2 linked regions of the Caenorhabditis elegans genome follow. The protein of the gene in region 2 interacts with the protein of the main gene of each other region in a biochemical or structural test. Each region holds a gene or a part of one and is shown on either strand. Other genes may lie near its edges. The genes, in order: famk-1 and F46A8.3.

What was found.
Region 1: of the proteins of F46A8.3 (region 2) and famk-1, one has a biochemical effect on the other in vitro, tested with the Caenorhabditis elegans proteins (one study listed by BioGRID).

The regions. Positions count from the first base shown.
Region 1 is NC_003284.9:15,208,651-15,215,084, forward strand, and holds famk-1 (Extracellular serine/threonine protein kinase CeFam20), read right to left. Parts: upstream 4,610-6,434; 5' UTR 4,583-4,609; coding exon of another isoform or gene 4,550-4,582; 5' UTR 4,528-4,549; coding exon 4,434-4,527; intron 3,372-4,433; coding exon 3,092-3,371; intron 2,998-3,091; coding exon 2,788-2,997; intron 2,738-2,787; coding exon 2,645-2,737; intron 2,564-2,644; coding exon 2,451-2,563; intron 2,389-2,450; coding exon 2,235-2,388; intron 2,186-2,234; coding exon 2,043-2,185; intron 1,742-2,042; coding exon 1,445-1,741; intron 1,336-1,444; coding exon 1,181-1,335; 3' UTR 639-1,180; downstream 1-638. UniProt on the Caenorhabditis elegans protein: Golgi serine/threonine protein kinase that phosphorylates secretory pathway proteins within Ser-x-Glu/pSer motifs.
Region 2 is NC_003279.8:11,242,013-11,245,287, forward strand, and holds F46A8.3 (Galectin), read right to left. Parts: upstream 1,513-3,275; 5' UTR 1,509-1,512; coding exon 1,062-1,508; intron 982-1,061; coding exon 742-981; 3' UTR 725-741; downstream 1-724. Other genes in the region: F46A8.6 (uncharacterized protein), read right to left, coding at 1,824-2,034, 2,086-2,117, 2,560-2,796, 2,845-2,991.

The sequences.
Region 1 (6,434 bases), on a different chromosome or scaffold from region 2:
TTTTTTCAATTTTGAAAAAAATCTAAGAAACGGCCGAATTAAATTTGAATTCTCGCGCAAACGAGTGACGTCATTTTTAATATTTTTTCGTTTTCTGGCTGAATGCATTTGTTTTTCATGATTTTTTCTTTAGCATTTGATTAGAAACACCGTTTGTCAATTTTTAAATTACTTTTCCGTAAAGCGGAAATTTCAAAATCAACCTAATAATCGACAATTTTAATATTTTTTATAATATTTTTTTAAAGAAAAGTGTTCGAAAAATTGACTAACAGAATTTTAACTCAAATGCAGAAGATGAAATCAAGGAAACCTGGTAAATTAAGCCAGAAAACGCGAAAATATTGAAAATGACGTCACTCATTTGCGCGGGAATTTAAATTTAATTTGGCCGCTTTTTTTAATTTTTGCAAAGTTGAAAAATCATAAAAAATTTTGAAATTTTGAAATTTTTTTTGAAATTTTGAAAATTGTTAGCAATATTGAACAGTTATATTCGGTCATTAGGGTCCACTTTTTGTCAAAATTTTAATTACTTGAAACTAAAATTTTTTTAAAAAAATTTTAAAAAATTCCTTGAAACTTGATCTCTGAAAATAACAATTCCTGTACTGGAAATGAAAAAAAAAACACAGAACAATTTAATCACAACATTTATGATTCGTCCTGAAAGTAGAAAAAAAAACAACCGATTTGACAAGAAATGGAGCACTGCAGCCACATTGCTCAGCGAGAATTATATACCCAGTAAGTTTGCGTCTTTTGATAAAAGAAGTATGATATTCAATAGGAAAAAAAAAGAAATGACAAAAAAAGAGCTGAGAATATATAATCATAATATTCAACAGAAATTCTACACAAAACAACTATCAGGTTACTTTTCAAATTCTTCGAGAAATTTTTTCGATATTATAACACCGATTTGTTTTTGATTTGACCTACATAATATGACCCTCATAAATGAATGTTTGACCAGAGAGAAACCGTGGAGCGATGGATGGGATACCTTCTTGTGGGTTTAAAAAACGGGGGGAAGTGAAAAGAAAAAATACAACAATAACAGAGAGTGAAAGAAGCTCGAGACCCGAATGCAACGCAAAGAAACATTGAAGTTTAAGAGGGAAATTTAAAATGCTACTACATGACCTTGGTAAAATTGAGAAGACCTAACGAATGACGACTAAACAGTTTTCTTATCATCCTTCTTATCCTGATGCTCCTCGCTTTGCTCTTCGTCGTTTTGCTCGGCGTCTGAGACATCGGGGTTGTTGTACTCGGCAACTAGAACTTCGGCAACTCCCCGGCTTTCGAAGCATTCCAGTATGTGAGACATAACTGAAAATTGTTTTTTTTTCTTTAAGTTTTGTATTCCCAAATTGGAATTTTCACAGGAAAATATTTTTCAGGTTTTTCGGTAACCTTTCAATATAATTTCAATACTTACTTTTTGCTAACCGCCTTTCCATTGCCGGATAATGCTTATAAGCCAAAATCGGATGGGCTGGATCTTTCGATAATGACTCGTGTAGGGCTTTCGTCAGTGACTTTGGTGTACTGTAGAAATTCATAAGGGTCTGGAAAGTGGATGGACGTAGGATGCAGCATTGTCGGAGCGGGAGAATGATGTCGTCATCGTCAAAGTCAGATCTGCCAAATGCTCGACCATGGTCGAGATGGATCGCATAGGAAGGAAGATCGTTGAACACGTTGAAGGATTCGAAGTGATGACGGTCTTGGTTTCCTGGATGTTTGTAGTTTAGTCTTTGGTTAATAATAAAATGTTAGTAAACTTGTGGTAAATGTGCACCCGACATTGAACGAGGTCCATAAAAAGCACTGTGAGCAGCAAATTCTATATTGTACAGTTGCTGTCTTTCAATTACTCTCCTCATACAGAACAGTTATGAAACTTTAATACTCGTAGCACTGTCAGAAATACGAAAAAAAAATTCCGTACAGTTATTCTATATTTACCATCCATTCGGAGGGTGCAAACACCACCGGTTTTTTATGTTCAAAATTTGACAACTGCAAATTCTTACCTATTAAATAATCCAAAATATGAATATCAACCAGATCAAGTAACCTTCTTCCATGAGCATATTGTCGCTTGGTTTTCACCTTATCCGTGCAATAATTCATACTCGACTGCCATTCAGCTACTTGATTCTTTTTCGAGTAGGTTCTGAAAACAGTCTGCTAGCTATTTTATTATCCATCGGCCTTCAACCTACCGTCTATACGGACTCCTATTATGCTTCCGAGGAACTGCTGACTCGTCGGGTAAGAACACTTGCACACTGCCTTCCTTCATATCAGGAAGACCGCAAATTGCATGTGTCGTGTCGCAGTAATAATCGCATCGTGACACGAAGCAAAAGTTTTTGGCTGGAATTATTTTTATAAAATTGATGTGGTGAACAGGTTTGGTGTCTTGATGTCAACTGTACCTGGAGAGAAGAAGAAAGTCTTCTTGAGTTTTTTCTCTGCTTTTTCGAACAGCTCAGTTGTCATATTGAGAACTCGTCCAACGGTGGGGATTGCTCGTCGGAAGCCGAGCACTCTGAAATTCAACTGACCGATTTAAAAAAAAAAATTGATAACCATCTCTAACAAAAACAAATCCATTATTTAATCCACTAACCTGTCTAAATGGAAAGTTGCGATTTCTGCATGATGTCGTTCAAAATCACTGAAGTAGAAATGATTCGGATCCGATTCATAATCGCGTCCAAATCTGAAAAAGAAAGAAAACAACTATTTTCCGGTGTTCTCTGTTCATCAAACCTCATCGGCTTAAACACGGCCTGCTTATCGTTTTTGAAGGTGAACACAAATTTCACTTGAGTGCCTCCATCCATAATGTGCACGTGTTTGATGGGACTTGTGTTGAGATCGTGCAGCAAGTTGTCAATCATTTGATCATCCGAGTACACCGAACAACTTCCAATGTTTGAGTAGAACCTCTCCCAGTTGTCATCTTCCGGCACATTTCTCCTGAAACAGTGATGAGATTTTTTTTTGCTGGCAGCTGGTGTTAAAATTTTCATTTTCATTTTCAATTTTTGAAATTTCAAAATATAAAACTTACTGTTCAGACTTCTCCCAGAACTTTGAAAGCGTGATGTTCTTCTTGCACTCGTTCTGCCTTAACTGATCAAAATCTACATTTTTAGTGAGATCATAAAGTTTGCGTAAAGTGATTTTGTTAGATGAAAACAAGAAGTTGAATGGATCACTAAGATCCTTCTCGCCAAGGCTTGGAGGAATTGGCTGGTGTGGTAGACTATTTTGTCCGACTGGAAACAAGTCGGGACTCTGGTGGCCTACAGCTCGTGCTTCGTTTGATTGAGGTCCTTGTTTCCATTCTCCTGAAAATGGATGCAAGATTATTTAGGAGAAACCTTGTGAATGGTTTGTTTAAAACTATCAACTTAGTCATACAGGCCCAGAGTTTAATAAATATAGTTATCATAAGAACTGTTAGAAAAGAGAGATAATTGAAAGGTGGAGTAGCGCCAGTGGGGAAATTGTTAACAACTATTCCTAAAATGCCGAAATGATCGAATATCATAATAAAACTTTTCAAAAATGTTTTCTAAATTTTTTTATTTACTGTCAAAAAGTGGCAATTACTCAGTTTTTGCCACTTATAATACTGGAAGTCGACCAAAATTATTTTTTCCTACATTTTTTACGCTTTAATTTTGTTTTATTTATTAGGATTTAAACATTGCAGGGGTCGGAACATGCGACGTTGCTCCAGATTTCACCAAAAGCTCATATTTTTCAAAACTGTGGAAATTTGCCAAAACTTTGATCGGAAATTATAAAAAATCTAAAAATGTTTTGGAGTGTTTTATTATGATATTCGGTCTTCTTGGATCATTATTAGTGTAGTTAGACAATATCCCCACTGGCGCTACTCCGCCTTTAATATTATAAAGTTCGAATAGGCCTAGTAAAAATATTATCAAAATGGGTAAACTACGAAAATCTATATATGTAGAACGTTTCAGACTTATTAAAAATTGCAATCAAATTTTTGGCAAACTGCCAGATTTTCAAGAAAATACAAAGTTCATAAACATTTTTTTGTAATTTTTTCCAACGTGTCATTGTCAAAAAGTTTTCTACTACTTTTTTAATACTTTTCTAGGAACAATATAAAAACTTTTGTGGAAAAGTGTTGATTAAAATAGTATTCAAAGATGTCTAAAGTTTTTCCATTTTTTTCGGAAATTGAGATTTGATCTAAATTTTCATATAGACAATAAAGACAAAATTGTCACAAAACTCCCACATGTTATAGGCCACATTTAGGCATAGTTTCTCTCTTGTTTTATCGATTGCTATCGCCACTATTCCTTTCTAGCGAATTCAAATAATCATTTTCAACCAATAAACAACACATATACAATTTTAGAACTTACTTTCATAGTTGTCCTTGGAAAACGAGATTATAACCAGTGTAGCCGCAAAAACTCCGATCGCCAAAGTGAATAATCGCTTTATATTGCACCGCATGTCTTTCTGGACTTTTCTCGTCTCACTTCTTGCTCTTTGCTGGTTTCAGCTTCATCAAACGCCGGCTCCCAGTTTTGTGACACTGCAAAATGAGCATTTATGGGGTGAGGTTCATAAGCTATTATAGATAAATAATGGGGTAGAATGAGGAAACAAGAGATCAAAGCGATTAATTAATAATTTACTCCAGCAATATATACCAATTACAATTCAATTCTAGTCCTATAAATTCAATTAAAGTTTCTTCTAATGGACAGAAGAGGGCAAGTGGGGGGAGAGAAAAAGAAACTGCCACACTGTTTTCGAGAAACATCACCACACGCACGCCATCAACCACCTCCTCCTCCTCCATCCACTCCTAAACTGACAGACCCGCACACCTTGTATATTGTAAAAACGACAAAACATTGGAGAGGCGAAGAGGCTGTAAACATCGGCGAATGATGTGGAGGGAAGGGCCTGGGAACGTCAAAGGTGTGTGTGGTTCGTTTCTTCGGCAGAGTCGCTGTGTGTGTTTGCTCGTAAAGTGCTGGGAAGCAAGAAATTGACGGAGGATTGCCCACCTTGCGTCACCGAACTTATTGGTGGTAAATGGGACTTTTTGGAAAATTAGCTGGGTCATCATTTGGGATGTGGTCAGGGTGGAGAACGAGATTGAGATTTTTGATATCCCACATCTAGAAATGATCCGTTATATGTATATTATGAGCCTTTAATAAGAGATGAGCACCAAAATTTGATTTATTATCCGTTTAAAAAACAGAAAATTTGGTTCGCTTTTGAGAATATTTTATGTAGAAAATTAAACAAAAACTGTAAGTTTGACAGGAAATTTCAATTAGCGACGAGGAAAAATCAACGACAATACTTTTACTAAATAGTTTTTTTAATTGGAAAAACAACACTTATTTTATCAAAATTTATAAATCGGACCAATTCAAGTTTGTTAATTTGTTACTAATTTGAAAAAAAACTCATAATTAAAATCAATTTTGCTCCCATGCAGATATATTTACTGCTCAAATAAACTAGGCTTAAACGTTTTACGATCAAACGTGTGGTTTTACATAAGCTTTTAAAATCTTAAAGTGGAGTAGCGCCAGGGGGAAATTGTTAAAAACCATTCCTATGGTGCCAAAATAACCGAATATCATAATAAAACTTTTCAAAAAAGTTTTCAAAATTTTTTTATTTACTGTCAAAAAGTGACAATTACTCAGTTTTTGCCACTCATAATTTTGGATTTCGACCAAAAAAAAATTTGTTTTTCTGCATTTTTTATATTGTAATTTTGTTTTATTTATTTGGATTTAAACATTGTAAGAGTCAAAACATACGACATTGCTTTGGATTTCCTCAAAAGCTCATATTTTTCAAAAATTTGTCAATTTTCCAGAACTTTGTCCGGAAAAAAAAGGAGTGGTTGATTATGATATTTGGTCGTTTTGGATCATTATAGGTTTATTTAGAAACAATCCCCACTGGCGCTACTCCACTTTTAAACATTGCACATAGAGAGAAAAATATGAAAAATAAGTACGAATCTGAAATTTCAATATTTCTATTTTAATTCCAAATCTGATTCAAAATTTAAAGATTTTTTCTTTCTATTTTCTAACCATAAAATAAAAACATTGGATCAAGAAAAAATAATCTTTCTCAAATTGTAGTCAGAATGATGATATCAGAGAAAAACAAATTTCAAGCAAAACAAAAACTATATGATAAGAAAGATGAAGAAAAAAATTGATTACACAGTTAACTGATGTTTAAACTTTTTAAATATAATGCCAACTAATTCTAATTATTGAATGTTACCCAAGGTTCAAATGATCTGCAATTGCAAAAGGTTACTTGGTTCAAGCATTCGGTTTCAAATGGTGTGGAACTTTTTATTATTTAGTCAC
Region 2 (3,275 bases):
TATAACCTTCTATGTATTTTTGATTACGAGCGGCGTTTTATTATACTTCTCTCTTTAACTGCCAGCGTTTTTTGGATGAACGCAATTTCAGATATCAATAAACAGAGCTATGTTTTTTTGTCTGTACATACTTCTTATAATTCTCCAACTTTTAGCAAAAATTTTGTATTAAACTCATTAAGACCTTCTTTTAGTTAAAGCTTTTGTCAAATCGTACACAATTGAATGTGAACTTTAATCCTTATGATTCAAACCAAAATTTTAGCCTTCATTTCCTATTCACATGATTCACGCTAACCTCAATATCGATTTAATTCGATGATATATTATCAACTTCTTTTCCCTTTCTTTAATCTGACTAATTCTTTAATTCTAAATATTTCCCTCTGATATATTTTTGATATATATTTTTGGTATTATATATGTATAATACTTCTAATAAATAATCTCAAGATCCATTTTTTGAAAGCTCATTTGGTAATCTCATACTTTGTGATAATCACAGTTTTGTGGAAATTCAGAATTTCCGATGTTGCTCTACTGATTCAAAAAAGGCTACGAGTCTGATAGACGTGTTTATTGTGTTAGCCGGATATTATACCGTACTTATTATATTATTATAACATCAATAAGTTTGAGAGATTTAAGGCCCTAAACCCTGAAGCTTAAAGTTTCAAACTACCATCTTCCATATCAAATAATCCAAATCTCTATCAAATGCAACACAATTCTTTATTCAAATTATCGTGAAAACTCCACTTTCGAGATAGCAACAAACTGGAAATCAATTCCTTGATAGTCTCTGGATGGATTGGGAACTCGATGATTAAAGTTCACAAAGAATGCACCATTGACATGAATCTCAATATGCGTTGGCTGATTGACCATAGTAACATTGAATTGGGTGTTAGCTTGAAATGGGTTTTCACTATATGTCTCTCCGACTTCCCACGCTCCATTCGTATGTCGGGTTCTGGCTACCTAAAAAACTATTAATGAAGAGGGACCAAAGCCTGAGGGGCGTAAGCCTGAGGCGTCTAGCCTACAAAAGCAAAACTTACAAGTCCCTTGGTAGGTTCACACGCGAAATGGAACACCCAAGTTTGTGATTTGGCCAGATTGATGGTCCATCTTCCGCTTCCAGGAATACCGTATATTCGCATGATCTTCCCAGTATCCCAATATCCTCCAGGAATAGGTAGAGTGGTTGTAAATGGTCCATTGATCGTTATCCAGTCTTCTCTAGGCTTAGGTGTTGGTGCAGGCCTTGGAGGCCTTGGAGGTCTTTGCCGCCCTCCACCACGTCGTCCACTGTAATCATCGGAGGAATCATCGTCGAACTTAGGCCTTTTCCCACCACGTGGCCTATAACGATGTTCTTCAGAGGAACTGGAGGATGTTGAATCATAGTGGACAATAGATATTTTCTTAACTTTTTTTCTGTCATTGTCAGAGAAATACCCAGAAACTAGCACCAGAAAGGTGAGGAGTAGAAAAACAAGCCTCATTGAAAAGGAACTTTTGAAGATTCAGCGGAGTGAAGCATGTTTTATAGCTTGCCGACTTCAGTCTCAAAGTTTATGTGTGACTTTTGACGGTTATATCGGCAATGCTTTATTATACGTCAACATTTTAAAGTTTAAAAGAAACTCGACTATTTTATAGGACACACTGTTTTAGACCATTTATATACGGTAACTATTGAATTTTGATTTGACTAAGTACTAAAAAATTACAGTTCAGAAAATTTTTTGTCCTGTTCAAATGATCTTGAATAGGCCGAAAATAGCCTTAAATGCCTTGAAGTTCATAGTTTGTAGCCCTCACAAAGAATCACTTATTTCATTAATCAAGTTCAATTCTAGAATGCCGCCATCGATTTGATACCAGGTGCCATTGGAAGCCCGACAGGCTGGGATCGGAGGGGACCTTCTGAAAAATCGGATTGTAGTTTGTAGTCTCCTACACAACTTACGATCCTGAGCAGGCGTCTGGGCTGGTGCCATATCTTTGCCGCTTTTGGCGGTTTTTGTTCTGAAATTTTGGGGGAAATTTGATTTTCTGTAGGATTTTGGGAAAACTCACTGAGCCGTTTGATCCGGCTGCTCACTACGTTCCTGAAAATGAAATTTGGGTGCAGAGATCGTAAATGAACAACAGCTTTTGCTCACTTTTTTGGGTTAAGCTAGGCTTTGGCTTAGGCTGAAGCTTAGGCTTTGGCTTAGGCTTGAACATAGGCTTATGCCTAGGCTTAGGCTTGGGGTTAGGCTTAGGCTCATGCTTAGGCTTAGGCTTAGGCTCCGGCTTGGGCTGAGGCTGAGGCTTAGGCTTAGGCTAAAGCCTTGACATAGTCTCAGGCTTGGGCTTAGGCTAAAGCTTAGGTGTAGGCTTAGGCTCCGGCTTGGGCTGAGGCTGAGGCTTAGGCTTAGGCGTTGGCGTAGGTTTAGGCTTAGCCTTTGGCTTAGGCCTAATCCTAGTCTTAGGCTAAGGCTCAGGTTTAGGCTTAGGCTCAGGCTTAGGCTTAGGCTTAGGCTTAAGATTCTAAGGCCAAAAACTCACCGCTGATCTCTGCGTGGACTTGACATCCGGGTCCATTGGTGCCACCACCTCCGGCTTCTTCTTCTCCGCCGACTTCTTCGATTTGCTCGACTTCTTCTTCTTCTTCGAGACCTTCTGCGAAGAATCCGCCGATTTCTTCTTCTTCTTGGCTGGCTCCTTGCTCTTCTTCTTCTTGCTCTTTTTCTGATTGTCCATCGCTGTCCGCGTGCTGTCCGGCCCCACATCAGATACCTGCGCCTGAAAAAATACGGTTTCAGAGGCTGCAAACTACAAAATTAGAGTCACCTCTCTCATCGACATCGTCATTGGTCGCACAGGACACTGGCTCTTAGGAGGCTTCTTCTTGCAAAAGCACATGACCAGGATTCCACTCTGAAAGTAGTTTGTAGTAATTGTAGTTTTGTAGTTTTTGTAGCAGCTTACCGTTATCATTATGAATATGTTGTAGATAAATAGTGAATCGATACACTCCGCCATCAGTTGATTTGTTTAATAAGCAGGTAGTGTTATTGGGAAATGATTACAATTGATTATAGATTCGATTTTTTGATTATCGATTTATTTGGAAAATTTGAAGTAAACAACAAAAAAATAGACACGTGGTTGGTCACGGAATACATTTTTTAAAATAGTATTTGTTAATTTGATTTTAATTTTAAATTTTTCAATAATATATGAATTTTGACGTTTCGAACTAAAAGTAAATGTGATATTGC